Cricetulus griseus: one gene and its partner. The protein of the gene in region 2 binds, or shares a complex with, the protein of the main gene of each other region. Links are inferred from orthologs where the notes say so. Each region holds a gene or a part of one and is shown on either strand. Other genes may lie near its edges.

Evidence for each region.
Region 1: Tert (region 2) and Nop10 share a complex: the UniProt entries of both Homo sapiens proteins name them as parts of the telomerase holoenzyme complex. The link is inferred for Cricetulus griseus from reciprocal best matches to the Homo sapiens genes TERT and NOP10.

The regions. Positions count from the first base shown.
Region 1 is NC_048599.1:66,077,009-66,092,091, reverse strand, and holds Nop10 (H/ACA ribonucleoprotein complex subunit 3), read left to right. Parts: upstream 1-6,479; 5' UTR 6,480-6,567; coding exon 6,568-6,621; intron 6,622-6,873; coding exon 6,874-7,014; 3' UTR 7,015-7,244; downstream 7,245-15,083. Other genes in the region: Slc12a6 (solute carrier family 12 member 6), read left to right, coding at 13,122-13,392. UniProt on the Homo sapiens protein: Required for ribosome biogenesis and telomere maintenance. Part of the H/ACA small nucleolar ribonucleoprotein (H/ACA snoRNP) complex, which catalyzes pseudouridylation of rRNA.
Region 2 is NC_048595.1:368,306,540-368,322,376, reverse strand, and holds part of Tert (telomerase reverse transcriptase), read right to left. Parts: intron 15,120-15,837; coding exon 14,924-15,119; intron 13,878-14,923; coding exon 13,697-13,877; intron 13,049-13,696; coding exon 12,869-13,048; intron 12,215-12,868; coding exon 12,056-12,214; intron 10,040-12,055; coding exon 9,938-10,039; intron 9,217-9,937; coding exon 9,131-9,216; intron 7,539-9,130; coding exon 7,425-7,538; intron 7,107-7,424; coding exon 7,035-7,106; intron 4,727-7,034; coding exon 4,538-4,726; intron 2,909-4,537; exon of another isoform or gene 2,796-2,908; intron 2,159-2,795; coding exon of another isoform or gene 2,110-2,158; exon of another isoform or gene 2,074-2,109; intron 1,775-2,073; coding exon 1,648-1,774; intron 1,263-1,647; exon of another isoform or gene 1,202-1,262; coding exon 1,140-1,201; intron 505-1,139; exon of another isoform or gene 162-504; intron 1-161. UniProt on the Homo sapiens protein: Telomerase is a ribonucleoprotein enzyme essential for the replication of chromosome termini in most eukaryotes. Active in progenitor and cancer cells. Inactive, or very low activity, in normal somatic cells.

The DNA of each region.
Region 1 (15,083 bases), on a different chromosome or scaffold from region 2:
GAATTCTGGAGTAACCCAACCCAACCCAACCCAACCCAACCCAACCCCAGTGCCTATCCCAGAGTCCTCTCTAAAAGCCCTAGGAACATCCATCTTGGGTACCCACCCCCACTTACATAAGAAAGCAGGAAAGAGCTTCTGCATCAGGACTCTGGGATAGGTGAGTCCGGGCCAAGACTTTGTAGCGCTGCCAGCGACGATAGTTCTCATAAACACCCTTGGAAGCATAGGCAAGGTCACCTTGAGAGGGCTTCCGGGCAGCCACTGGACCTCCTTCCATGTTTGCAGCTTGTGTTCCTGGCCAAGACTTTTCCAGGGGCACAATGGGAGCCAGTTGGGCAGTTGGTGGTAGAGCCTGCACAGAAAGTCCCGCAGGGCCCTCCTGGCTCACTCCCACAGCCACAGCAGGCAGAGTGGACTTCATACTAGAGGTTGTCACATATGGAGGAGGCAGCCCCTCCTGGCCCCCACCAGGAGCCCCTGAGGTAATCCAGTTCAGGGCTGTCTGAGTAACTATAAGGTTCTGACTTTGAGAGGGCTCAGCTGGCCCCACTTCTGTCTTGACTTTAACAATGACCTGGCCAGTTCCAGCCACACTGGGGCCAGAGCCTCCTTCTCCTGTCACCAACAATGGGCTGGGAAAAGCAGAAAGGAGCAGAGGACTGCCTGGAGAGAATGCAGGAGGTATGGGGGGCTGTGGTGATGGCTCCCAGAGGGGTGGGTCTGGTGGCACAGGAGTAGGTGGGGCAAAGGGAAGCCCAGTGAAAGGGGGCAGGCCAGCACCAGGTTTCATGGCCATATCTGGTCCTGGTAACGGAGAGGCTGTTGAGACAAAGAAAAGAAGGGAGTAGGAAGGAGACCAGAAGTTAGGCCACATGACTTCCTTTTAGTTCCTATGGGATCAGAGCAATGACTCTTAATGCATGAAGGAGAGGACATGGATGGGTGGATTTGTAAATGTCTCCCAAGGAGTCCTTTACCCCTGAGTTACCAGGCTAAAGAAGTTGCTCCCTTTCAACGAGACACATAGACCTGCGTCTTCCAGGAAGAACAAGCTCAAGCTGCCACTGCCTCTGAGAGCTTTTTTCAAAATACTCGTGGAGGCCTCCCCTGCCAGCTCCACAGTGTCAAATAGGACTGACACCTGTTGTGCAAGCAGGCTGGGTGCTGGGAAAGTTCCAGACCCCCCAAAAGCATTCATGGGGTCCTTGGGGAGGCTGTTTCACAAACACTGGTCCATCCTCTTCCTCCCTTCCCTATTCCTCTTACTCCTAATAATCTCATCTCAAACAACAGAAGATGCAGTTTACGGATAGGCGCAATGACTCCAGAACTCACAAGGCTCATTTCTCCAAAAAATCATTCCACCAGCATACATGGACATCTACTAATCCTGCCCACTCCCATGAGATAGAAACCACCTGCTCCCAGCTGCTCTGTGTCCCCTGTCAACATTCACAGAAGTACAGTCCCCAGGACAGGGTATGGCAGCCTGAATTCTTTCTTCCCAGAAACTTCATTATGTAACAGCTAGGAATAGCTGGAAGGATTAGATAAGGACCAGGAAATGATGGGGATGGGCATGGAGGGAGGGAGATTTCCAGTGCCTTCAGGAACTACTGGACAAGTTGAAATTTGGCAGTACAGGTGGTCCTGCTTCTTAATGTTAGAAGTTTAGGGCTCATGAAGAATATAGCATTGAGCTGAAACTAAGGAAGAATGAAATCTAGAACACAGTTCCTGCTGGGACGAGCTATGTGGATGCTGGTCAGGCAGATCAGGGGATAAGCACACAAATGTGTACTTCATTAAACAGGGCCTGTATCCACATGATATCCACAGGGACATCCACATGATTTTTAATGATAAAAACAGAAGCCAATCGGCCTAATTTCATGCTGTTCTTCTCCCTATTTTAAAAAAGAGTATTTCACCAACAAACCAGCACTACTCAGATTCCTGACCACAAAGGAGACATGAAATAGGAACAAACTTATGTTCACACTCATCTAAGTCACACAACAGAAGGTTGGGTTATAACTGCCAATTTCTGCACATTGTGAAATGCTGCTAAGGTCTTAGCTCCACAATAGGTAATAAAACCAAACATCTCACTATGGCTAACATGACCTATCTTCTCCATTCTGAAAGTCAAGAAAGACTGCTCCCCACCCCATGGCTGGGTAGTGGTGGTGTGCGCCTTTAATCCCAGCACTTTCGAGGCAGAGACAGGTGGATCTCAGTGATTTCAAGGCCAGCCTGGTCTACAAAAGTGAATTTAGGACAGCCAGGACTGTTACACAGAGAAACCCTGTCTCAAAACACAAAACAAAACAAAAAGAACAGACAAATGGAAGGAAGGAAGGAAGGAAGGAAGGAAGGCAGGAAGGGAGGGAGGGAGGGAGGGAGGGGAGGGAGGGAGGGAGGGAGGGAGGGAGGGAGGGAGGCTACCCCTAACAAAAAACATACTTAAAAATAAGTACAGGTTTATTAATACAACCACTCTGGAGGATGAGGCAGGAAGAGCACAAGTTCAAAGGCAGCCTGGGTTACAGGAGTTCAAGGGCAGCCTGAGCAACTTAGTGAGACCTCACCTCAAACTAAAAAGTACAATAAGGGGCTGCAGATTTGGCTCATAGAATGCTTGTCTAGCATGTGCAAGGCCCTGGATTCAATTTCCATAAACAAAAATTTTACACACACACACATGCATGAGCTCACACATGTGCCCAGAAATGGTCTATGGGGCACGAAAAGTACCCTCCCCAGAACACTAATTAGATGGAACCTTGAGCTTAGAATTCCCAACTTCTAGATATATCCTTAATACATTACTATGAAAGAAAAAAAGAAAGAAAGAAAAGCCTGCTGCCTGGACTGAAAAGAAGCCACCTCTGGCTGGTAGAGGCCTTCAGATCTGAGGCCAATCAGTTTTATAAAATCTCTAGCCCCATTCACTGGCTCTTAAATGAATAGCCCCCTGAAAGACTTTTAGCTCTCCAAGTAAGCCGACTGTCCCCCTGACCCAAATTCCCACTTCTCCATCCATCAGCCTCCTTTCCCTCGAAAGATCAAAAGACTCAGCTTGGCCTTCTCATGGCAAAGTCCCAGAGCAGGCACTAGTTGCCAGTAGACACAGATCTTGAGTCTTCCCTGAAACCCTGACTACGTTGCCCATACTGCACATAAACCCATGCATGTTAAAGTACAACCTCTTCCTGGGAATCAATTTGGTAATTGCTGTCCATTACCTATACTCAGTGTGTTACACCTGAGGCACTTTGGTTTGTTTCCAAGGAGGCTTCCTCCATTCTTAATGGTAAAAATCTACTTCCCTATGCTCCCTAATGCCTGTGTGGGGTCTAATGTCTCACATCCCTTTAGGTTAGCCTAAATAATTTGTTCCTAGATAAAGGGACAAATCTGACACTCCAGGGATTTGATCAGGTGGAAGATACCCTCCATTCTCCACCACCCCCAGTCTTACTTCTGTCTGAAGCCATCATCTGAGATTTAGGTACACCAACAGTGGCTGTGGGGAAGCCTCCAGAATGAAACAGTTGGGTCCAGGAACCAGGCAGTAACCTAGCTCTAACAGAGGATCTCCAAGGAAGGTAGGGTAAAGACTGGGTAAAAACAGAATTAGAATCTTGGACACAGGCATTCTGTAGTGGGGGAGGGGAGAGGGTATTTCATGGTGAGAATGATGAGGTATTACACAGTGGGTTCTGGTAGGTAAGCAAAAAGTAAAAAATCCTGTGCTGGAGCGATGGCTCGGGGGTTAAGAGCACTGGCTGCTCTTCCAGAGGTCCTGAGTTCATTTCCCAGCAACAACATGGTGGCTCACAATTATGAGATCTGGTACCCTCTTTTGGTGTGCAGATATACATGGAAGCAGAATGTTGTATACATAATAAATAAATAAAATCCTTTAAAAAAAATAGAAAATCCCTCTAAGTTCATTTGATAGCATGATTGTTGGGTGTCTTTTTTCTTTTGGGGGGGATGTCTTTCCCCCCTCCCCCCCGACAATTTGTACATTGTTTCTCAGATTCTCAATATTATACTGTAGTTTTTGCTTTTGGTTTCTTATTCTTCTAATCTTCAACAACATATCTAATCCTCTGCCCTTCGGTTCCTCTAGTTCTGTAACTGGCTTACTATTAATAACAAATTAGTGGTGGGCCTTTGGCTTGTTACAACAATAACTCTATTTTCTGAGCCAAATTCAGAGCACACAGTTTGTATAGTTGAGGATGGAGAAAACAAAATGTTTGAAATGGAAGTATTTCAGATGATCTAGGGTGTCCAACTGCTGTGGTGTGAAAAACTGCCACCTACTTGTAGTCCTAGGACTAAGGAGGCTAAGGCAGGAGTTTGAGAAAAGCTTGAACTACAAGTGGAACTATCTATCTGAAGAAATAATTCTCTCTGCAATCCCCACACAGTCCAGTCCCAGCAGCTCTGCAGTTCATGGAAGCCACAGCCTTTTCCATTTGCTAAAAAAACTTAATAAATTTTAAAAAATTATATATATATTAGTTTCAAGAGGTGTAAGCCATGTAGCCCTAGCTGGCTAGTAACTCTACAGAGATCTGCCTGCCTCTAGCTTCTGTGTACTGGGATTAAACTGTGTACTGTGTACCTTTTTTTAAAAAGGCATAATCTTTAATAATTTTTGAGGGGTTTATGCAGTTTTATTGAATATGAATATTTGTCTGAATGTAGGACTGTGCAACTGGGTAAATGCCTGGTGCCCCCAGAAGCCAGATGAGGGAGTCAAAGCTTCTGGAACTGGAGCATTGCAGCCAGTTGTGAGTTGTCATATGGGTGCTGGGAACCGAACCTGGATCCTCTGCAAGAGCATCAGGCATTCTTAACCACTGAACCATTTCTCCGGTCCCTTTTTCATTTTTTGAGACAAGAATCTGTCTATGTAGCCTAGGCTCAAACCTAAGACTGTCTTGCCTTAGCCTCTTGAGTGCATAAATTAGAGTCCTTGGTCACAACCGGTGCCTTAAAATTACCATAAAGTCTTTCACTAAATTACTTTTTGAAGTTATTAAATTAATTACATTAAATTAATAGATTAGCATAGCTGAAAAGTCAAACTAAGAAAAGTTTGAAGAGAAAAAAAGGAGATAAAAGGGTATGGGAGGATGAAAACGACTAAAATTCGGTGTGTGTGTGTGTCTGTGTGTGTTAAACGGTAGACAACAACAAAAACCACACAAAACAAACAAAAAACCCAGGGCATGCAAAATAAAATACGCAGCAGCAAGCATTCTTTCCATCCATTTCCCTGTAACCAAATCCTCCTCCAAGCCAGAAGATGCCGATATTAACTGTTTCTAGTACATTCCCGCCCCTCGCAAAATCTCGTGCATGTGTACACGTGTACACGTGTACACACACACACACACACACACACACACACACACACACACACACCACACACACACACACACACACATACACACACACACACACACACACACACCGTTTGGCTTTTTGTTTCTCAGTTTAAAGCAGGGTCTTACTGCTCGAATACTGCTCAGGTCGGCCTTGAACCTACTGGTTGCTAGAGATCCTTCCGCCTCAGCCTCCGGACTTCTGGGGTTACAAGCCGGTGTTAAACTCCCTAGTTTTTTTTAATATATCTTATGAGACGACAAGTAAACCAACTATATTCATTACTAAAAAAAAAAAAGAAAAAAAGAGAAAAAAAACTAAAGTTTTTCTGGCTATAAATTTAATATGTTACAATATTTTTGCCACTATGAATAGTGCTACAATGGTCATTTTGCAATATCTTGGTTTTAATTTTAATTTTTCTAAACTAGACTCTTATAAGACTTTTTATCTTTGAAAAACTGGAAATACTCCAAGAAAGTTACCTTACTGTGATATTATTCGCTACTCACCATGTAAGAAAGAGATGAATTTGTGGTCAGGTCCTGAGTTTGAATCTTGGTGCAGCCTCTAAAACAAAATTCACCAGTTTCATAAGAAAACCTTTACGTTCTTTTCGCTTTGCATAATATCGAATACCCATCATGCACTCTTTACCGCCAACACTTTGAAATGGGGCGGGGAACCGGATGTAAAAGTGGGGGTCTGAAAAAAATCTTACATCTTCCCTAGGATATAGGAGGTTGAGTATCCTGGAACCCTTGTTTCTCCAGGAACTACAAAACTAATGCCTCTGAAATGGGTGAGCAATTTGAGAGTAAAGACAGGACTGGATGCATCAACATTTAACCCACACCCATCCCTACCTCCCAACGTCTGGGAGTCCCTGGCACACAGTGGGCAATTCCATGGCTCTTTGCAAGGCAACTTTGCAAGGTTGTAGCTAGTTGGGAAGACCAAGGCCAAGTTCTGCTCCACTGTGCCCCCTTCTGGTCAACTGGATATGACTGGAGAAATGGACTACATTTCCCGGCATGCCTTGTACCGACTTCCGGTCAGATGGGAAGGATGTTGGCGAACACGGTTGAGGCGGTGTATTCCAGGCAAACGCGCCTGGCTGCGGAAGAGTGAGGATCTTCGTGCTGAGTTGCAGTCATGTTTCTCCAGTATTACCTCAACGAGCAGGGCGATCGCGTCTATACGTTGAAGGTAAGGGGAGAAAACAGCTGTAAGTCGGGAGGACAAGAAATTTAGGTGGGAGGAACAGTTGGAACCGGCCGCCGGCCAGCGCAGCCGGGTGCTTGGAGCCACGTCCGGGCCGAAACGTGGTAGATGCCGGCATTGCACGACTTCTTGTTCTGACCGCCGCGTCTCCTGGCTTCAGCTTTCCCATTTTCTTGTTGTCCCCTTGCTAGCACACCACTCATGTATTGAGATCATTTTCTTTTTTTCCTCGAGCAGAAATTTGACCCTATGGGACAACAGACTTGCTCTGCCCATCCTGCTCGGTTCTCCCCTGACGACAAATACTCAAGACACCGAATCACCATCAAGAGACGCTTCAAGGTGCTCATGACCCAGCAACCGCGTCCTGTTCTCTGAGGGTTCGTTAATTTTCATGTGCTGCCCTACCCCAGGCCGATTATCAATAACCAAAGGCGTCAGTCCGTGAGCAGTGAAGCCTTCCCATGCTGTTTGGAATCCTATCTTACTACGTGACTGAGTCTGTCGTGATGGGCATCGCCTGTAAAAGGAACAGTCTTAACTTTTTTTTTTTTTTTATGCTTTGAATTACTGCCAGGTTATTAAAGAGACAATGTCTTGAAAGTTCATTTTGTGTGTGATTGGAGGGAAAGATGGGGGAGTGTAGTGCCGTTGCTAGTACAAGGCCACTTGAGAACAATGGTAAGCCCTCACTTTTGAAGTAGCAATGCGCCATGAGTGTTAGGGTGTTGGGGAAGAAAGGCTGAGAAAGACTCCTACAAAGGTCAGCGTTCACTGAAAATATACTCCAGTCCCTGGAGTAAATTGTGGCCCCTTTAAATAACATTCCGAATTCCTCAAAGAATAATAAAGGCATAAAGACTTAATTGGCAGTTACGAAACTGGTACTGTTACCCCCTCTTTAAGGAGTAAAGGCACTCAACTTGTTTAGTCCTCGTTTTTGTTTTTGTTTTTTTCCTCAATTTTAAGAGTGGGAAGGAGCCTGGCGGTGGTGGCGACGCCTTTAATCCCAGCACTCAGGAGGCAGAGAGGCAGGCAGAACTCTTGAGTTCAAGGCCAGCCTGGTCTACAAATCGAGTGCCAGGCCAGGCTGCAAAGCCACAGAGAAACCCGGTCTCGAAAAAACCCCCCCAAAAAAAAAAAAGAAAAAGAAAAGTGTGTGTGTGTGTGTGTGTGTGTGTGTGTGTGTGTGTGTGTGTGTGTGGAGGTGAATCTTCTTAGTAATTATACAGTTGTTTGTTCAGCTGTCATAAGTGGGAATGTCTTTGACCAAACTTGCTGTCCTGGAAATCTATCCACACTTTTTTCTCTCTAGTCAGCTTACATATAATAACCCTACATCTGTTACATCTGTATTTTCTTTGGCAGCCAGCAGCTATGTGTAATGCCCCACATATCTTAATTTTGAAGAGGTATGAGAAATTAATGAAAGGATTTTTGTTGTTTTCCAGTCTAGAGTTGTAAAGTGTGTGTATAAATAAATATATACATACATACATGAAATGGAAGCTTAAGGACTTTATCTGTAGCTCTGGCTATTCTGGAACTCTCTGTAGATCAGGCTGCCCTCTGCCTGGCAAGTGCTGGGAGTAAAGGTGTGCACCACCACCGCCCAGCTCATAAATAGCTTTGAACTCAGAGAGATCTGCCTGCCTCTGCCTCCCAAGTGCTGGTGGGATTAAAGATGTGAACCACCACGCCCAGCAACCTAAGTGATTTTTTGTTTGTTTGTTTGTTTTTGCAAGACAAGCTTTTCTCTGTGTAGCTTGGGCTGTCCTGGAACTCTTTAGACCAGGCTGGCCTCCATCCTTCTGCCTCTGCCTCCTAAGGACTGGGATCAAAGACATGTGCCCACCATGCTTGGCTAACCTAAGTGATTTTTAGTTAAATTATTCCATATTAAAATAACGGTGAAGTAAAATACTGTATTCAGGCATTCAAGAAATGCTAGTTGGCTTCTTCCTTTCCTTGTCAAGTTAACCAGTTATCAGTCTCATTCCTGGATTGTGACATTGGATCTGAATGTATGTTTACTGCCACTAATTTTTTTTAAGAAGTATTTGTTCTTCTTTTATATGTGTGTTTTGCCTGCATGTATGTGTGTGTGTCATGTTTGTTTCTGGTACCCATAGAGACAGAGGGCATTGAATCCCCTGAGTCTGGAATTAGGGATGGTTGTCAGTGGTCATGTGGGTGCTGAGAACAGAATCTGGATCCTCTGCTGAGCAATCTCTCCAGCCTCAGTGCCACTAATTTTAAACTTCATAGAGACTGTGTTCTGCAATCTTGCTGAATACTCATAGAGGTAGAAAAGTTCAGTGTTCCTCTTGACTGTTGGTGTTGAAAGAAAAAAAGAAAAATCATTTGATATATCTACCTTAACAGAAGACAGGTAACTTTCAATTAAGTAGTAGATCTGCTAAATTCAAATAGTTATATGTTTGTTTCTTTTTCCTTTCTAGTAATTTTATTTCTTAGCCCATTCATGAACACAGTTTTTAGTGTTGTATGTGAGAAATTTTTTTTTTTTTTTCTCAAGACAGGGTTTCTCTGTGTAGCTTTGGAGCCTATCCTGGCACTCGCTCTGTAGACCAGGCTGGCCTCGAACTCACAGAGATCCGACTGCCTCTACCTCCCTAGTGCTGGGATTAAAGGCGAGCGCCACCAACGCCCGGCGTATGTGAGAAATTTTAAAGAATGAATCATATCCTACTAAGGATATAGAAATGTTAAAAACTCTGCAAACCATGGGTCTCTTGAGTTCGTGACTAGTCTGGTCTACAAAGTGAGTTCCAGGACAGCCAAGGCTACACTGGGAAACCCTGTCTCAAAAAACCAAAAGAACAAACAAGAAACTCTGCACATAATTGGAAAAATGTACAACTGGAATTTTCTGGGTTTTGGGGGGGTTTATTGTATTTGTTTGTTTTGGTTTCTGAGACAGTCTCTTTATTCTGAGTGAGTCTCAAAATTGCTTTGTGGTTCAGGATGACTGGAAACTTTTAGTTCTCCACTGTTGTTGCCTTCATGTATGCATTCACCTTGTGCATGCCTGGTACCTTCTGAGGATAGAAGACAGAGTTGGATCCCCTAGAACTGGAGTTATGGATAGTTTTGAGCCACCATGTAGGTGCTGGAACTCGAACCTGGGTCCTCAGCAAGAGCATCAAGTGCTCCAAATTTGCTGTTTAGATTTTTAAAAATGTATGTTTATGGGTATTTTACCTCCGTGTCTATGCATATGTGTGCTAATACCCACCGAGGCCAGAAGAAGGTGTCAGATCCCCTGGGACTAGATCTAGACAATTAATTATAGCCTTTATGTGGCTGCTGGAGATAGAACTCTGGTCCTCTGGAAGAGCACCCCTGTCTCCAGTCCCCACCACTATATTTTGAGTTGTGGGATAACAGGTGTGCATTACCACCCTGGTTTATGGTGAGGATCGAACCTAGGATTTGTATGCTAGGTGAGCACTCTACCAACCCTGGAAGTTTTTTCTTTTCTTTCCTTCCCCTCTCTTTCTGTTTTGGTTCTTTATGTAGCACTGGCCACTCTGGATTGCACTATGTAAACCAGGCTGGCCTTAAACTCACAGATCTACCAGCCTCTACCTTCTGAGCACTGTATTACTGGCTGTCCCACCACACCCAGTCCCTGGACGTTTTCTAACTACCAACTCAGTGAAATCTGTCTGGTAGGAGGTGTGTCTTCTTTGTTTTTTCAGTATTGAATATAATTCTGTCCTTACAAAAACAAATAAAAGATTAGCATTCTGTGCCACCAGCAGTGCAGATCAAAATAAAAGACTAACCTGGAAATAGTAGTAGTCGATATGGAGGAGAAAAGGAAACTCATGAATCTAGCAAGGACTGAAAAGATCGCCTGGATAGTAACATCTGAGACATACCTTTAGTGAGCTTGATTATCAGTTAGTGTTTGCAGAAAGGAAGAAGAGCGGCAAGAGTGAGCTAGGTGGTAGATATAAGTAGATGCAAAAATTGTGCAGAAACGCCAGTGTGTCTTTTTTTTTTTCCTCATTAATGGAAGTTTAAGCCTGGCTTTCGATTTTCAAGGGAACGGGAACAAGAGGCAGGAAAGTAGCTACACTGAAGATGAAGATTTACAGGCATTTAAAAAGAGACATCTGAAATTTTACACTGACGCCCGGCGCCAGCATGTCTTTATAAAGTCTGATATTTGAATGAACTGCAAGCCTGCCTTAGAAAGTAGATCCCCCGGGGATGGCTCCAGGGCTTCTGATACATTCATACAGACATAAGCAGGCAAAACACCAATGAACATACATTTAGAAAGAAAGTAGCTGGGTGGTGGTGGCTCATGCCTTTAATCCTAGCACTCGGGAGATCTCTATGAGTTTGAGGTCAGCCTGGTCTACAAGAGCTAGTTCCAGGACAGCCTACAAAGCCACAGAGAAACCCTGTCTCAAAAAACATATAATATATATCTCCTTTATATGTGAGTAAGTGCACCGCTTCCATGCCTTGTCTTCAGCAGTTGGATCCCCTAGAACTGAGGTTACATGCAGTTATGAGCCAAATCATGTGAGAACTGGGAACCGAACCAGCAGGGTCTTCTCTAACCATAAGCTGATTTAACTCTTTGCAAGTAAGAGGAACCAAGGATCCGGGCAAGACTCCAGCTAGTTTCCACATTTTGATCAAACCTATAAGAAGTTTTCAAACGAAAGATTATGGAACTGAAATTTATTAAACATCATGATGCACTAAACACTAAACATATCTAGTTGACAGTTTAAAGTAGGTCAAACACTGGAAATGGAGTAGAACAGATACCTCAATGCCTTCTCAATGTCTATATAGTTCTCTTTAATGGAAGTTTAAGCCTGGCTTGGGATTTTCATGGGAACAGGAACAAGAGGCAGGAAAGTAGCTACACTGAAGATGAAGATTTACAGGCATTTCAGAAGAGACATCTGAAATTTTACACTGAGCATCTCATCTAGGATAAATAGATGTGGTAATGGGAGGTTTGGGTGCCATAAAGGTAAGGTTTCCAGAGAGACTCTAATTAAAGATGACCCCTGCGGTCCCGGGGTAAATGGGCATTGACTGCCCCTGAGCTGCATCCAGAGTCCACGCAGCACAGGTGACACGAGAAAATGCATCCCGCCACACACGTTCAGACCCGGAGGCGGACTGCAGTTCCCGTCGTGCTCCACGTGAGAGCCGCCGGCCCGCGCAGGCGCGCCGCACGCTCGCTGTCTCGGCTCTGCAGACTCCGGGCGGGGCTGCTGGTGCCCGCGGGACGGCGCCGCCCTCCAGCTGCTCCCCAGACTTCTCAGGACGGTTAACCTCGAATGAGGAACGAGCGGGGCGGGAAGGGGAGGGCTGCGGCGGCGCGGGTACTGCCCGCCGCGCCCGGGGCGGGGGGCGGCGAGGTCACGTAACGGCCTCGGGCGTCTGCCGGGGAGGGGGCCTCCTGCGCGCCGCGGCTCCGAAACAGTTAGCGGCTAGTAAACAACAGCTGCGCGCGCACCCGCATCAGCTGGCGCGGGATCCCGCACCTGCGACCTCCTCCTTAAACCTAGCCGAGACCAGCCTGCGTGGCCGTCTTCTCGGCTGAGACCCAAGGAGAGCCGGCAAGAGGCCACCCGCGTCGGCCCGGGGGAAAACGCGTCCTGTCACACGCGGCACAAACACGGCGAGAGTCGTGGGCTCGAGAGACTCGCGACGACCTGCCACGACCCGGAGCTGCCCTGATCCGCTAGTCGCCGCCTCCAGCTCCTCGGTCAGGAAGAGATCTCGAGGAGGCAGGAATCCACTCTGCCCCGGCATCCTCTCGTTGCTCTCCTTTCTCTCCATCCTGTAGTGTGGGGGTATTTTTTTCCCGTTATGCATGTGCACCTCTCCCACCAGACCCAAGTGGATTGTCGACCTCAAAAACATCGGGTGGTTCAGCACACACCTCCTCCCAGCCAGACCTGTGGGGTATTCACCTGATACACAACAGGTGGCCGGTGCACACCTTTTCGCAATCTGATCCACGCTATAGTCGCCTGATAAGGGTGGGCCTGCATGCTGTTTCCTCAGCTAGAACCGTGGGACACTCCGCAGATAAAGGACTAACTACCTCACCAGGACCTGGGGGTTGAGCAAGAGAGAGGCGTCACCAGCTGCTGTGAGATCATGGCATGGAGCCCTCAGCCCTGGACCAGGGGAGATAGCTAGGATTCCGAAGGAGCCAAGTTATACAAGATTAGCATCGTTTTGTTCTCATTGTTTTTCAAAAATTATTTTTCAGTTACTGGTGGTGTACTTTATAGAACAGTTGCCTTGAATTCTAAGTAGAAGGATTCTTAATTGGGCCTTTGTGGGATGTAAATCAAGGTAATTGAGGTTTTTTTTTTTTTCAAGTTTTCTATTTTTGCAATCAAAAGTACCTAGCGTAGGAGGAAGAGTTTTTGTGAGCTTTTCCTTTTCTCTTTCTGGAAAAGGGGGGAAAAATGCATCCTCCAGAACCCACCACCAAGATGTCTTCAGTTCGGTTCATGGTAACACCAACCAAGATTGATGACATTCCAGGTTTGTCCGACACCAGCCCGGACCTCAGCTCTCGATCTAGTTCCAGAGTAAGATTTAGCTCCCGAGAAAGTGTGCCAGAGACAAGCCGTAGTGAGCCTATGAGTGAACTGTCTGGGGCCACTACTTCTCTGGCAACTGTTGCCCTAGATCCTTCCAGTGACCGGACCTCTAACCCCCAGGATGTGACTGAGGGTAAGTAGAAACCAGAAGACAGGGTGTTCCAACCCCTGGGTTGTTCATGCAAGGTAATTACCTACTCTGTTTTATAATAATCACCAGGAATTAAGGACCACTTTTCTGTGATGCTTAGGAGCCTGGGAATAATAGTGGCCATAGTAAGTCACTGCAGTGGTCACTTGGCCTTTTGGAAGATATCTGGCAAGAAGGCAAGGGAATGCATATTTTGATATCCTCATTTTTGTCTTCTTATAACTAAAGTGACTATTTTTGGTTAGAGACAAACAATTAACTCTCTCACAACACAGAGAATCCTAAACTGTTAACATTTAATGGGCTGGGTATGTACTTCCTAGACAGCTTTGAGGCTTTGACTCTTAACAGTCAGCTTTTGGGCAGGTTGCAAGGATTAGCTACTGCTTACATCTTAATGGCTTCTTCCAGAGATTTAGCTGTGCGCCATAATTTTTTTTAAATTTATGTTCTTATAGAGTGTTTAAAGTAGCTAAGTTCACTCAAGGAGATGCTATTCTTTTGAATGGAACTTGCAAAGAGGCTTCTAGTGCCCATTCCCACGTCACTTGACTGCTGAGCTTTAGACAAACTATGTTGTGTATTTTATTGGGTTTTCGTAGTCAGGACATATAGGAGCCTCTTCTGCTCATATTGACTGCTTCCCAAACTTGACCTTGAACTTCATAGACTGGCTTATGTTAGAAGTTTTCATTTGATTTAGTTTCATGCAAAGAGAGATAAGGCATCTGTTTCAGACTAAAGAAAAAAGTTTGAAAACGGCCACCTAGTTTTATGCCACATCCTGACCAGTGTAATCTTTCTAGTTAAAAAAAAAAAAAAAAAAAATCCCTTAAGGTTCCTAATGACTCCTAACAATTCTGTTCTACTCAAGTTTGAAAACATGGCCTTGGCCACCAACTTGTGAAAGCAAGAGTGACTTGCCATTTCCGGCCTCAGGAAATACTGTTCCTCCTGACCTTAAGTGTTCCGGAAGCCAGAATAGTTTTAGTTCCTCAATTTTGTTTATTTTTAATGTCTCGAGACAAGATAGACTTGATAAAGCTTATAGTTCTAGAATTCACTAATCCTTAACTAGTCATTTTTTCTTTTATGTCAGTATTATATGTTAATTCTTTTTTTGTCCCCCCCCCCCCCCCGCAGGGTTTCTCTGTGGCTTTGGGGGCTGTCCTGGAAGTAGCTCTTGTAGACCAGGCTGGTCTCAAACTCACAGAGATCCTCTGCCTCTTCCTCCCAAGTGCTGAGATTAAAGTCGTGCACCACCAACACCCGGCTATGTTAATTCTTGCTCTAACTGCTTTCCACTGCTTACTAAACCTTACACTGGGTTATATTCTGAATAAAAGATTATAATTTCTTCCTTTGCCAAATTTTTTTATTTGTTTGCTTATCTATTTATTTTTGTGACAGGATCTCATGTAGCTCAGCTTGACGGTAAACTTTCTGTGTAGTCAAGGATAATCCTGAACTCTTGATCCTCCTGCCTCCACCTCCAAAGTGCTGAGATTGAAGGCCTTCTCAACCACACCCAGATTTATGTGATGCTGAGGATGGAACTCAAGGCCTCTCATGCACTTTCTGAGCTGAGCAACATCCCCAGCCTGTACCAAATTACTGCCAGATTACAGTTTTAGTCCTTAATCCATCACACTACATTTAAATTGATAAAATGC
Region 2 (15,837 bases):
CAGGAGCCACAACGGTGGGGGAAGGCCCTTGGTAAATGTGTACATGCATGTACACATGTACAGCAAGCTCTTGTCTGTGCATACATGAGAATTACACATACACAGATCTATGTGCTCTACATTCACCCGAATCATGCAATCGCATGCACAAATGAACTTACAGCTACATGTGAACACTCAGCATGTGTGCTCGTGTCTTCATACATATATCCTGCCACATCACTAGTCTCTTCCCAAGTGCCTCATGTAATTGTCACCTCACATCACAGCAATGTGCCCAGTCTTCCACAGCACAAGCTCTTTCCCGTACTCTGATCCAGTGACCAGGGAGTTTACTTAGGAGGAGGACAGATCCTCAGTGACATAAATCTGGCCTGTAGTTGCTGTGACCATCTGCCAACTGCAGGAAGAGTTCTGGACTCTGCTACAACTCTGGGGAGCAGCCCTCCTTTCTTGAGTCATGGGAAGCCTTGACCTTCAGGAGAAAGGACCTGTGCCATGTCCCTGTGGTCAGGTAGAGAAGTGACTGTGTCGTGAATGGCATGGGGTTTGGCCTAAGGAACCTGACTTAAGGTGGAGACAATTTCACTACCTGAAACCTGGGAATGGCTCTTACTGATCAGCCACCAGCCCCAGGTTCTCAGGACCAACTGAAGACAAGAATGTTCCAAAAGCACAACACAATGTGTGGGGCACCATGATGGCCAGGCTGCTTTAGGCTGTATCTTGGTCATGCCTTTTGGAGTGCAAGATTGCTATCAGCAATGGATCTGATTCTCTGCTTTCTGAGGCTCTGAATCCCCCTGCTACCCTTTCCCATCCTATGCCTTCTGAGGCGCTTTCCTGGGGGGGTCTTTACCCCAGTTCCCTCTCCTGTCTCAAGACATCTGGCTACAGGCTCTGGTCAGCACATTAGGTCGCATGTGCTCCCAGTGCAGAGAGAGCAAAAGAGGTTCTCATCTGACAAATATGGAGCTGTGTGACAAAAACTGAATGCTGCTTTTTCCTAAACCCACTTCAGCATGCCACCCAGTTAGGGGAGCAACTAGCCAGCTCTGCCTTAGGCTTGGAGGCCCCAGCAGCATGGCAGGCACTGTGGCCTGTGCCTCCCTCTAGTGGTGGCACAGTCCATGACTCACCTGTAGGCCTGAAGCAGAAAGATCTTGTACACATTGATGCAGACTGTCTGAAGGCTGTTCATCTGGAGTCCCAACAGAAAGAGAACCATCAGCAACATTCCTTGGATCAAAAATGAACATTTTCTGTGTTGTCAGATGGGATAAGAAAGTCACTTGTGTGGGAAATCCAGGAAATCCAGCCAGGCCCCCAGTGTCATCAAGAGGGGAAGAAGCAGGAGGGAGCAGAGGCCAAAGCCTACCACAGTGGCCCCTCCTAGACAGAGAACTCAGCAGCAATGGGCTGAAAGCCCAAGGTCAAGGCCAGGATCCAGGGGGCCTCTCTCTCTGTGGGGACTGATGATGGCATTGGAAAGTGATGAGCAGGCTGGGTGCTCAGGGATCCTCAGTACAAATGCAGATGTCTACATGCTCTTCGCACACAGTTGCACCCATATCACCTACCCATGCACATGCCCCCACACAAAGAACAGGACCTGCACAACAGATGAGGTGGCTGCCCATGGCTTACCTGCAAGTCTAGAAACAGACTGTGACACTTCAACCGCAAAACAGCTAGGAGCTTGTGTCGCATGTTCTTCCCAGCCTTGAAGATGCGCTGGAAGGTGAGGCTGGCCTTAATTGAGGTCCGGGCGTAACTGCAGCACAAAGGTATCCTATCTGTGTGATTCCCACACCAACCCCTCCTCTGAGAGACCAGCACCAACGCCCTTCCACTTCCTGTCCCTCTCTGCCATACACTGAGGGCTTAGATGGGGATGGACCTTCACACATGGAACACATCCCACCCAGCTCTTGGTATATGCTCACAACACCACCCAGAGACCTGGACAACCAAACCCAAACAGATGTAGTGAACAACATCCGTTTTGTCCAGGCTTGGGATCACCAGACATCTTTGCTCATCAGTGGCAAAAAAAGGGCCGTCAAAACTCACAGTTCAGAAAATCACAGAAGGAAATCATACAGGAAATCACTCTTTAAGTGGCTGGAACCTGGCAGAGCGCCTTCCCAGCACAGGGCTGTGAACGGAGCAGAAAATTACCTCCAGCCAGATCTGGGTGGCAGCACACAGTAAGGAAATGCCTACAATGGTATCAAACCACCTGCTGACTGTAGGATGCTTCGGAAATGAAATTCCAAGAACGGGACATGTGCAGGGCAGAAGGTAAGGGGTGGTACCTTCTTGTCACACTCTGCATCATCCTCAAAGATGAATACAGGTGACAGGCACAGTTACCTCTGTTAAGTTTCTTTAAAAGATTTATTTATTTATTTATTTATTTATTTATTTATTTATTTATTTATTTATTTATTTATATTTTTATGCATGTTTGAGAGCATGCCTGTGCTTGTGGATGGTGGCCAGAGGAAGGCGTGTCCTGCTCTTTCACACTGCACATTACTCCCCTGAAACAAGATGTCTCACTGAACCTGGAGCTAGGCCGGCAGCCAGCAAGCCCCTATGGCCAACTTTTCTCCATCTCTGCCTACAGTGTTGGGGACACAGGTGCCTGTGACCACCCTGGCTTTTCATGTAGGTGGAGTTTTGAACTCAGGTCCTCAATTCTTGCACAGCAAGCACTCTTAACCCAAGTCACCTCCCCATACCTCCTACATGTGCTTTTGAACACTTTGATGTTGAAATAGGGTTCCTACCATTTAGCACTGTTTGAAAACGTGGTGTCTACAGCAGAATAAGGCTGCTTGTGCTCTGTAGCATCTTCTGTGCCACCGCTTATGTCAAAGGGCAAGACAAACCAGCCTCAGTACTGTAAAACAGTAAGGCTTTTGGTAGTCTCTGATTTTTTTTTTTCCAGGATGGACAGGAAGATGTGGAATCACTAGGAAAAATAAATGAGTGTTCTGGTACCATAGTACCAGCGAGTGTCACTTTTTGGAGATGCCGCCCTCGCCTGAGCGACTCGAAGCATATGTGACTACATATGTACAGAGCCTACACACACACTAAGCATTTTGTGAGGGTTTAAGCCGATATACTGCTATTCACGGGGGTCCTGCACCGATTCCCCACAGGTCCTAAAGCTCGACTGCACAATTCTGGGAGACACTGTTATCTACACTGCAGTGCTCTGCCAGTTCTCTTCACACTTTGCATGTGAACTATGCTTTGGGGAGAAGAAACTCCTACCAATATACTTTCCCTTTAGGATGTTGCTAGTCACTCTGGCTGACCTCTAGACGCATTGTCCCTGGCTCAGACAGGGGGATCCTTGGCTCAGCTGAGCATACCCATTCTGCAGCCTCAGTGGATAAATGAGCTCACAGCTGCTCTGACTCTGGAAGCAGGGACCTTCCTGGTCTATGTGTCAGAGTGTTCTCCAATTCCCCCTGTCCAGTCAGCCTGGCTTCTCATAAGGTTGTGCTATTATCTGGCTTTAGCTGTATGTTCAGAAGGGAAATGCTTTTTTTTTTTTTTTTTTGATTGCTTTACCTACTACTCAATGACACTAAAGAGTGTAAGGGGATTGAGCCAGGGACTTTATCCTCTAAAAAAGCTCAGGCCCCTCATGGGGAATGGATTAAGCAAGTTAATAGTTTAGGAGCAACTGGAGTGCTGAGCACTGAGGCTGGGGTGGCAAAAGTGGGTCTAGGGGCAGAGGGTGAAGCCAAACTAAATCTGAGTTGAATCCCAGGGACTGGCCCAAGTTAGCATACAAAGACAGGAAGGCTGAGGAGCCCAGGCCTGTGAGGACAGAAATGGCAGCAGATAAGGCAGCACAGAGATAGCTTATCTGCACCCACCTCTTCCCTTATAGTGTGAACTTCCAAAGAGCACTATGGAGACAGGAGAGTTTGGATCCCAGCTCAGAACAGATAGCTATCAACATGACGACAGGTTCAGTTTCCTACCACAATTTTCATGCTTCTACTCATAAAAGAAATGGTCCAGATATTTTCACCTCCGTCCATCTCAAATCTGTCTTATCTACACTAAAGCTGGGCTGTGAGCTTGTGGTAACTGGAGACCAACTCCCCCCCTACACACACCCCCTTTATACCTCAATACAGAGAAGGGTCCTAGCTCCATGGTCTCTAGGAGACTTGGGACGAGGCTGAAGATGTTCTCGTATTGCCCACATGTCTATCTCTGGGCCTCTATCACTTCAAGCCTCATGGTTACTTGTGTCCAAAAGTAGGAAACAGGATGGAACACCACACAGCAGGAGCTCATGGTTCCTCAATAGGGGAACCATGGATGTGGATTGGTTCCCCTACCAGCAAATGCTAAACCGATTACTTGCCTATGAGTCAAAGACCTCCGGGGTGAGTTGCCCCCCGGAGCTCATGGTTCCTCAACAGGAAAAAGAATGGAGCATCCCATTGCATCTTCTGCCCCCAGGAGCTCATGGGTCCTCAACTCAGCCAGATGTACTTACCCAGTGTAGTCACAAAACACCTCCAGAGTCTGAGTGTCCAGCAGTAAGCCACACCAGGGAAACAGGCAGTGAGCAGGCAACTGGTGTGGAGCTGTACCATCCAGGGCACCAGGGTCCACAGGGAAGTTTACCACTGTCTTCTGCAAGTTTATCATGCAGCCGTACTCAGGAATGCCATGGACGAGGGCCCTGAGTAAGAGAGGAAACATTGGTTATGGAACCCTGGAAGCACACTCAGCACATGTCACAAAGATACCCAGAGATGTTCTGGGATCAGAGAGAGTGGGTCCTTGTGGGTAACCCTGATGGAATACCAGGCAGTCTTGGTCCAGACTGTAGCCTGGGGCTGCTCTTCTGTGTAAGCAATAGGGCCAGCTCAGAACAAGATGGCCAGGAGTCAAACAAGTAGGAAGGTTCACATAACCATCTGATGGTTATACCTTAACATCCATGTAGCAAGGGACCCTCTCCCCCTCACCCAAAAAGTCTGTTTTCTTATACGTTGAGATGCCTGTAGATGTGGATTGCTTCCCCTCCCAGCAAATGCTAAACTGACTGCTTGCCTGTGAGTTGAAGACCTCCCCAGTGAGTTGAAAGTAAATGTGTACCCTTCCTCAGAGTGAACTCACACTGGCAGTCTGGCAGTAGTCTAGCTCCTGTCCCATGGGTGGGAACACCTGATGCCATCCACCTGCCTGTGACTAGTCAGTCCTTGCAGCTGCCCTGGCCAGCTCCTTGTAGTAAATATTTCCTACAGGTGTCCATGGACAGCCCCCACCTAGTGGCCCCATCACCTGGTGATCTGACATTGATCCAGAGCCACTTCCCTGACAAGGTCTTAGGGACAAAACTGACTTCTGGAACTTTCCTCAACAGCAGCAGTGTCTGTCCTCTGTCCCCAGTGGCCACTGTCTATGTATGGGCCATGTAGCTTCTGATTGATACAGATGTGACAGGGACACACTGGGGCTGTTCTCACCTCATTCTACCTACCTTGACATGCACAACCTACTGGGCTCGAGGACACTATGCCCAAAAGAGCCCTGTTGGGCAAATTTGAAACTGGACAGCATTTAGTGTTTCCAGAAACACCAATACCTCAGTGGTGACAACTTCTGAGGGCTCGGCTTAATTAATCACATTCAGGTTTTTCCTCTTGTCAATTACCCTAAAAGGAGGTCTACAAACTTCACAGCGCCTGAGGGGGCTTCCTCTATAATACATGATCTGAAGGAACCCTCAAACTCTGTGGTGCCCAAGGAACCTCACTTGATGGTCCTGCTCTGAAGCAGGGCTGCAGTGCTCAATTCTAGCTTGAACCACAAAAATTAACTTTACACCCAGATATGCAATAACCCTGACCTCACCTCTATATACTACAAACAGCCTGGGATACATACTATAACTCACTAGTATGAATATTAATGTAAGAAAAATGACCACTCCTAATACAACAGCCATGTCTCAAAACACCAATGTTTAGTAAGTACAAATTCTCTGGTCTCTTCCTAACAATCCATAAAGAAAAGTTACTCTACAGAGCCATGGGCCTGTTCACCCAGTGCCTGTTCTTCATGGTGTGGTGTGAAGTCTCAAAGTTATCAGGAATGGTTTGAATAGGTATGGCCCCATAGACTTATGTGTTTGAATGCTTGGCCCATAGGGAGTAGCACTATTACGAGGTGTGGCCTTGTTGGAGGAAGCATGTCACTAGAGCCAGAATTTGGGGTTTCATATTCGCAAGCTACACCTAGTGTGGCACACAGTCCTTCCTGTTGCTGGCAGATCAAGATGTAGAACTCTCTGCTACCTCTCCAGCACCATGTCTGCCTGCACAGTGCCATGCTTTTCACAGTGATGACAATGGACTAACCCTCTGAAACTGTAAGCTAGCCTCAATTAAGTGCTTTCCTTTGTAAGGGTTGCTGTTGTCACAGTGTCTCTTCAGAGCAATAGAAAGTCTAATTAACAGAGGCAGGAGGATCTCTGTGATTTTGAGACCAGCCTGGTCTACAAGAGCTAGTTCAGGACAGCCTCCAAAGCCACAGAGAAACCCTGTTTCGAAAAACCCAAACTCCCGCCCCCCCAAAAAACTCTAATTAAGACAGCTATGCTCACATCTTCTAGAAGGGCTAAGTGCCTTAGGCCTCTGCAAACAGCCCTTCTGTGGGCTTGGCTGGGAGGCATAGGAGTTACTGCCTGTTGTCTCATCTGAAGACTTTCCAAATACTGGAAATGACCCGGTCTCTGACCGCACTGCATCCTCGGAGAGACCATGTCGGACCAGCCATGGGTGCCATACTCTCTTCCTTGGTGCTGGAGGTACCCATGTCTGGCTGCACAGGTGAGGTGACCCTGCCACTTGGTAGAGGTGCCACTAGGTCTTGGTGACAACACGAGCTCCAGGAACACAAAATTATAAACCGATTAAATGTGCTGCCTCAGCTGCACATACATCATGATCATACGGCAGAAACCCAGGCATAGCAGTCCTTACCTGAGGAAGGCTTCCGCCTGGACCAGGTGAGGTGTCACCAACAGAAAGTCATCAACAAAACGCAAAAGCAGCCTAAAATGAGACATGTTGACAGGTTTCACACAGAATCCACCTGTAGGGGATCCAACCTGAAACATTTTAGGTGTCACAATGCACAAAGACAAAACAAAGTGGTATTTCAAAAGAAGATAAACGACAGCTTTACTGTCTTCCTAACAGACATAGCTCTGGTGCACTTTGCAGCTTTGCACGAAGTGAAGGCAATGGATGACCTTTACATCTCGGACATAAAGCAACTGTCACACCCACTCAGTGAGCTGGGAACTCCAAGTGTGAAGATATGGCAACTCATGACCCAGGCCCTTGGAGCAGTAAAAACAAGCAATTTACCCATCCTTCTGCACCTCAGCAAACAGCTTGTTCTCCATGTCTCCGAAACACAGACTGCAGAGCAGGGTGGACAGGCTGGAGCCCTGGGGGATGCCCTGGCACTGGACATAGCACCTGGGGATGGCAGTGGTGGTTAAGGTCAGAAGCAGCAGCCATGGTGGGCTTCACACTCACATTTGACAACCCCCCATGTATAAATATGTACACAGACATACACCATTTTGTAAACATGCTCAAAGACCACGTAAACAAACAGTAATATCTACTACTGTCAGTTGCCAAGACCCAAAAAGACTCCAAACTCAGTACCACCCTTATCTCTCCCATTCCCAACTCTTACTACAACCTGGGGTGGTGGGGGGCTACATCCCCATTCACTGACTCCAGGTTGTTTTTTTTTTATTTAAAATTTTTAGATTTTAAACATTAATGATAAGCAATCAGGCTCTTGAACTGAATATTTATCTGGGACAATTAGTAACAGATTATTAGTGGAAGGACATTCTGGGTCATAGCCATGTAAAATTGTCAGTGCCTTCTTCACAGAGAACCTAATGGCACCCTTCAATCAAACATACATGGGTGGGTGCCAGCAGGGGTGGGTGCCGGCAGGGGTGGGTACCTTCAGATGGTCAGGCAGGGAACTTACCCAGGGAACCCGTGTGTGAGAAAGAGTAGGTATGAGCTGACCCCTTGCACAGACTCAGTCCCCTTGGCTAGAGTATCTGTTAGGAAGCTCTCCAGGCATGGTGTACACAGACCTGACTTCTCAGTGTATCTGGCTGACCCACACTAGGACTAAGTTATCTACCACATGGACACAGACTCACAAATCTGTGCTCAGTATTATCAGGACTCAGGAGCACCCTTTGTGGTGTTTGTGAAAAAAACACCCAGTTGCATGCTTGTAGCTTGTGGTTTCCCAGCATGCATATCAAACATTTCCAATTACAGCCCAACACATACTGTGACTTTTGATAGTCAGATATTTCTTGTCCTGCCTGCCCTCATCTCTAATAATCCTGGGTGTGAGCCTGGAATTCTGTTCTGTATTGGCACTCATTGTGTAGGCTCCTATCAGTCCAGCAAAAAGGTGCCAAGTGCATTCCATTCTCTAAGTGGGGACTTTGGGTACAGAAGATGCAACCAAATGCTCAAATATTCAACCTCACATCTGATCCAGACATACAAAGTAGGTCTTTGCAGGCTGATGGGCTGTTAGACAGCTCTAGCACTGAGCCAGTCTGGGTTCCCTTCACTACAGCAGTGCTTTTCAAAGGGTACCTGCTCTGGCTTATAACTCATGGGAGTCTCTGGGGGACTCAGCCATAGGCACTGCACTCTCTTTGTTGATGTGTCTCATGTGTCTACATGTGTCTCATGCCTGGCTAAACAGGTGAGGTGCCCCTGCCACTTTGTCAAAGTAACAACAGGAACTCGAGGCATACAAAATTATTAACTTCATTAGGACCATGCTTAGTCAGGAACTCCCAGGGCCTCATGGGTAGGCAGCCCCGTGGCCCAGTCAGCAGAAGGGCAAGAAAATTCTATGAAGGGGAGTGGGGAGGAAGCAATGAGGCAGAGGGAGCCAGTCAGATAGGCTTCTAAGTGCTGTAGCCAGTTAGCAAGCACCCTGCTCAGCAGTCAGGATGGTCTCTATCTGTACCTGCCCAGCCTCTGCCCACTTGCCCTACGCCTGTGCCTACCTGCCACCGATCTTCACAACACTGTTATGCACAAAGTGCAGGAAGAAGTCAAACAGGCTGCTGCTGGCCTCACTCAGAGATAAGCTCTAGAAAAGCAGACACATGTGGACAGATGAGTGGGAGGATGCAGAACTCTGCCACCAGATGACCCTGTAAGACCAAAATGTTCATGGTAAAGTAGGGGTGGGGCCAGGGTCAAGTGTCCCTGCATGGCCAGGAAGAAATTGACTCAAGGTGACAGGGTATGTAACTTACAAAGTGGCAATGTAACCTATTATATTTCTACAGCACTAGGTTGGGGAACTTGGAGCTCACACAGCACCCCACTGAGCTAAAGGAAAACCATCCAAAGGTCTCAGTGAGCATGGCTGCCCCAAAGTCAGGATATGTACAAAGGAAGTTCTGTAGAACCACTGATTTGTGGGAGGAGATCTCCTAGGTGTGGCATAGGTAAACTGAATGGGCCAAGATGGGGACCACAGATCAAGTCCAATTTGCCCACTAAAATAAAACTATGGTCTCAAGGTCAAAACTGAGGGAGAAGATATTTTTACCAGTTCACTAGTAGATCAGTGGAGTATGGGGGACGAGGGTATAAAGGGCACTTCAGAGCATGCCCACCTTAGTAGCTATTGGGGAGTCTAGGTCATGTCATAGGGATGGGGACTGCCACCAGGAAAGAGTGGCCTTGGTCATGGGAACTCTCCACCAAGGAATACCTTGGTCACATTCCTACACTGAAGCAAATAGCCAAGTAGAGGAGGAAGGCCCCACCAGGTGCGGCCGATTAATGGGGAGCCCAAGGACCTGCTCAATGACAACGGAGTTCCTCAGCGCACTGGTATCTGAGTCCTGAAGATGCCTCACGAACTGGCCCATGTGTGGCTGGAGGTCAGAGAGGGTGGAGACCTGCAGCACAGAAGAGGTAAACACTTGAGGGGAACCAGAGGGGCACATGGTTTTCTGGCCAGGACTGCCACAGCACAGTTCAACAATAGAACAGTGTGGGACCACTCCATCCTAGAGTCTTAACAGGAAAAGGGAGAATCTAGCACCCTAGCAGGAAGAGCCACAGAAACAGCAGGTTGCACCACAGTCAGCTCTCCTTGGGTCAGACACCCCCATAATGCTGTGGTTACCGATGGTCACAACACAAGTAGCATCCCAACTTCTCCACAGAGACAGCGGCAGTCAGGAGGAAGAGCTGACAGGATTAGGGAGGGGATGGCTCCTTCATCTCCTGCAACAGACTCTTTAGGATGCCTGCTTTTTATCCAGTGGCCACCAAGATCCATGTCTCTAGACACGATGTCACCAGAAGGAATACAGCACCATCTACTGACAGCACAGGAACAATTCCTAGCATGCTAGGTGTAAGACGTCCAGACGTGTGAACACTGGGGTCTCTGAGTAATGCTGGCTGTCCTCAAACTTGCAATACTTCTGTTTCATGCTCTCATATGTGGAGACTGCACACTGGCTTTGAACCTTATAATTTCCCATGTTAGGCTGCGTGTATGAATATGGTCAAAATGCATTATACTTGTGCATAAAGATGTCATAACAAAACCCATTATTATGTACAATTAACATATAGTAGTAGCACAAAAAAACCCCAAAAACCCATGTGCCAAGTTGGTTTGCTATAGTACTAGGAGTAAAGTCACCCAGAGAAATTAAAGTACAAGAATTAACCTAGAAAAGAATAGCAATATGACCTGAGCAAGAGGGAGCTCACAGACCCCAGTCTGACAGCTGGGGAACCAGCATAGGACTGAACCAGATCCCCTGAATGTGGGTGTCAGTTCGGAGGTCTGGGCTGTCTATGAGGCAGCTGGCAGTGGAACCAGTATTTATCCCTAGTGCACAAATGGACTTTGGGAACCCATTCCTTATGGAGGGATATTCTCTCAGCCTAGATACACCGGGGGGGTGGGGTAGGGGGGCCTAGGTCCTGCCCCAAATGATGTTACAGACTCTAATGAACCCCCATGGGAGGCCTCACCATCCCTGGGGAGTGGGTGGGGGTGGGATGAGGAGTTGGTGGGGGGAGGGAGAGGGAACCGGGATTGGTATGTAAAATAAGATTGTTTTTAATTTAAATAAAAATTTATTAATAAAGAAAAAAATAGCAATATAAATAGAAAATGCCTGCATTTTCAAAATAATGAAGTAACATGCTTCTAAATCACTAAAGAGTATATCAAAAACTGCAATAAATAAATAAATAGAGAAGGTTTTGAACTGAGTGATAATGAACTGACAAAAGCCAGCATGTGTACGGGACTACTGAGGGGTCTTGCAGAGAAATGTATAACTTCAGGTGTTTCCTTGGGATTGGTGTAATGGCTAAGCAAGTAAAGACACCTACCACCAAACCTAAGGACTTAAGTGCAATCCCCAGACCCATGTAGTGGATGGAGAAAATAACTCACACATGCTGTCATCTAGCCTCTACAGAGGCACAATGGTAGCTGCTCTGACCAGAGTAGGGAAGGAATCGCCTGGGTGTAGTGATCCTTGGTGCAGAAGCCACATGGCCACTGCACATATCATGCATGTATAGTTAAAGCTTGCCTGTGAGTCTTGTATGTCCTATATATAGGGAAAGGAAGTCACCTTGCGCCTCTCCCAGGCCTAAATTCCTCTGCCTTTGAACCCACAGACCCCACCTACCTACTGAAGAGGATATTGGGGGGATCTCCATTGGGAGTCCTGTAGAGGGAGGCACGCTGGGGTCTGACAAATGATCACTGGCACCATGGATACCCAAGCCACAGACATGTCCTTGTATGGACATGCCAGAAATGTGGACCTATCACAGCCTTACCTGTGTCACTGAAAGAGTCCAGATATTCACGACATGAAAAGCCCTGTGCCACCAGCATGCTCACAGCACAGATGAAAAGTCCACCATAGCCTCACCTGTCTCCTGAAGGACCTGTGGATTTGGCCTTCTCTATCTCTTTGGATCACTGCATATTGGCGGATACAGTATGTGTTCTCCGGGTGTCTGATCATATTGGCAACAACCTCCACAAGCTTCTCCTGCGGGATGGCATCATATGCCCCGGTCACATCTGCCTGTGGAACACATGTGAACACTAAGCATGGTTGGGCCTAGGCCCAGGGGTCCTGCTGGCTCTGTCCTTGGTGTCTGGGTTCCAACCTGCCCTTAAGCAAACCAGTAGGAGATAGACAGACAGGAGAAAGAAACTCCATGCTCCTGTACTAGCCTAGCCACATGTGCCTATCCCACAAATTTCCCATTCCAGACAAAGGACCCTGGGGCATAGTGGGTCTACATTCCTCTCTCCAGCCCAATATCCCAGATTGAGACCCTTAGGTCAAGGAAAACCTACATTCTCCTTGCAGAGCCTCACAGCCTGCAAGGGCCCCTGCCTAACACAGATACTGAAGCATGCAGGCCCTAGTGGTAGACAGAGTCAATCATGGCTAGTAGGACCCAGCATCCAACGGGATTCTCCTATAGGGTAGATCCCAGAGGAATTGGAGCGCACTGTCCAGGGAATCCACACAAGGCTATCCCAGAAGTATGGGGTCCCCCTGCTCCAGAGAGAACAGGAGGCCACGGTAACTTTGGCCTATATATGGTAGCAGGGGCCAGCACTCTCAACCACCACCTACAATAGGGTCACCCAGTGTTGGCTGCTCCAAGGAGGTCCCTTGAGTCAAGACCATGGGAGCAAATGTGATGGCGGGAGTCCAAATGATCACCTTAACAAAGTACATCCTGGGTGCCGGGTTCAGAGTGCGTACATGCAGTACAAAGGCCCGCCAGGTCCTGTAGACATCATTCAGGCCCAGTACAGAAGCCCCCAGAAGGTTAGTATGTTTTGTCCGTTCATAGTTGAGCACGCTGAACAGAGTCTTGAGACACTGGGTGAAATGCTGAGCCTGGGCCAGGGCCACAAAAGACACATTAGAAACGAACCTGACAGACTGTCCCAGACTACCCTGATATCTCAGAGTCTTAGAAGACCTATCCCACTAAGTCACTTGACTGCATTTGGGGCACTCACCCAACCTGCTCCAACCTGTTCTCACCTACCACCAAGGGCACTGCCGTCTAATGAGACATGTCCACTGGGCTGGGGTCAGGTTCAGGATCAACTTCACTCACAAATGTCCCCCAGCTGGGCTGAGGCATCAATAGCTTCACTTTGTGTTCTGGGCATTACTAATGACAAGTCACCCCACACACCTTACATTGGCACCGGGAGGGGTAAGATGTTGTGGACATCCAGCTATGGTGAAGGGAGGCAGCTGCCCTCTTGGTTACTTTGGCCCCTATCATGGAGGCCATAAAGTATCTACCCTACCTGTCAGGATCCCTGAGGTATCTCCAAGGTTTGTGTCCCAAGCCCTTTGGCTCTTGAGACCATCTCCCATCTGTAGGGCCTTTTCACACGCTGAAGTTTTGGACTTGGGAACAACCAGTTCCTCGTCCTTCCTGTTCTGTCTGCCCAGGGCTCAGAACTTCATGAGCCCTTGTGTAACCAGAGAGCAGGCTCAAGCGGCAGTACAGGAGCCAAGTGCAATCACCTGCTTCCCTTTATTAAAGGCTCTGGCGCCCATGCTATAACTCATGTTCACAATGGGCCGAAGACCACTGGGCTTGGGGATGAAACGCAGTCTGCAGATGGGCATGGCTGGCCAGGCCTCCTGGTGCTGCCTGACCTCCTCTTGTGACAGTTCCTGCAGCTGCACTCTCTCAAGGTGTTGCCTGTTACAGAGAGCATTGTGGAGTTACGACATGAGCATGTGGGAAATTCGAGAGACACATCCCATCAGGGTGGTTAGGAACTTGGGTCATTTGACAACTGGCCAAGCTATGGGACTACATCCAGGACCATAGCAACTCTCGACAACCAGGCAACCCACACAACTGTCTGGGCAGGATACATGACATAAAGCCTGTGTTTGCACTTGGGACATCTGATCCCGTAGTCTGCCCTCGTGTTCCCTTCTGGGGTGATCCCATTGGCCAGGGCACTTTTGAAGCAATCTGCTGCACTCTGTGGATAACCTGGCTTAGACACAGGTGTGAAAGCAAAAAGCATCCCTGCCCACCTCAGGTTCATGTGTGCCAAAGTACATAGGAAGTCCTGTGTTGGCTGCTAAGGATCCCACAAGCACAGTGGGTGATATGTAACACATAATGAGGGTTGGACTTCATGAAACATGGAGCCGGGTGGCGATGGCACACACCTTTAATCCCAGTGCTCAGGAGGCAGAGGCAGGAGAACCTCTGAGTTCAAGGCCAGCTTTGTCTACAGAGCTAGTTTCAAGACAGCCAGGGCAACCTTGGTTAACATGGCAGTCTGATCTCTGCAGGCCTTGCCTGGCATCTATTCTGCCTCCTCAACTTGGTCTATGTACTTTCCACTGGTACAGTAAATCCCAGCTCAACAAGCAAAGAACCTCAGCCACTCAGCGCCTCCGCCAGCTCTTGGGGTGGAATCTTGTGGTTTCCCACTGAGGAGGCTCCTCATATTGTACTTCCTTCAGGACATAAGGTAGAACCCATCTGACCCATGTACCAAACAAGCAGCTACTCTACTCCTGTTTGGTGCGAATTCCTCCTACGTTATTGAGCCTATAGATGGTGTAGGCCCAACTTAAGATTTTACAGGTCAGAAAGCAGGATCTCCAGTCCATGACTACATGGAGTCTATGTCCTGAAGGCCCATGGACAGGCTAGCAGGTGCCAAGCACTGTTGAAGTCAGTATACGTAAACAGCAAGCACCGACAACAGAGATGTGTGGTACCTGACTCCAATGTTCTGCAGTCTTCTCCATACCCTCTTGCGGTAGAAGAAGAGCCGGTTCTTCTGGAATGTGGTCTCTGTGACGTAAAAGAATGACCTAAGCAGCTCTACCACGTATGTGTCCATCAGCCAGAACAGGAACATAGCCAGGATCCTTTCCCTCGTACGGTGCTCTTCGGCTGGGACACAGTTGTTTCCTGAAAGCAGTAGATACTCAACACCCGTGACTCACCCCACACCCATGATGTCCAGCATGGAAGCCATGGGACCCCAAAATGAGCCCACGAGGTGTTACTCTGGACATGGTGGGTTCTAATAGAATGCATCAATAAACTAACTTAACCTTTGTGTGTGCGCGGGATGGAGGGTGGGGGGGGGGGTGGGGGATGGGGTGGGGTGGGGGGGTACGGGACTTATTTTTGGTAGGTCATAAACTAAAGTTCTCTGACAAAGCCATGTCAGTAATGGGATCCTGCAGGCCTAGTGACTAGAGATAGAACGCTGCAGACTGAGAGTGAGATGCTCTTGAGCATCTCTGACTTGCATTCTCTTGAGCCATCTCTCACTCCCATTCACTTCCAAGCTCTGAATCTGACCTAGCACCTTGTGACTCACTATCCAGTGAATCTTTTGGGATGGACTGACTCAGCAGACCCTGACCTCTACCAACTGCTAAAGCTAAGAATGTCTTCAGGTAGGGGCCAGAGGCATGGCTTAGCTGGTAAAGTGTTTGCGCTAGAGGCATGAAAACCAAGTTCATCAGAACCCACTTAGAAAAGCTAGGTATGGCCTGTGCCTGTAATCCCAGTGCTAGGGAGGCAAAGACAGATGGATCCTATCTGAATCATCAATTCCAGGCGATTAAAGAAAATACCTGATGTCAACCTCGGGCCTCCACACACATGCACAGGCAAA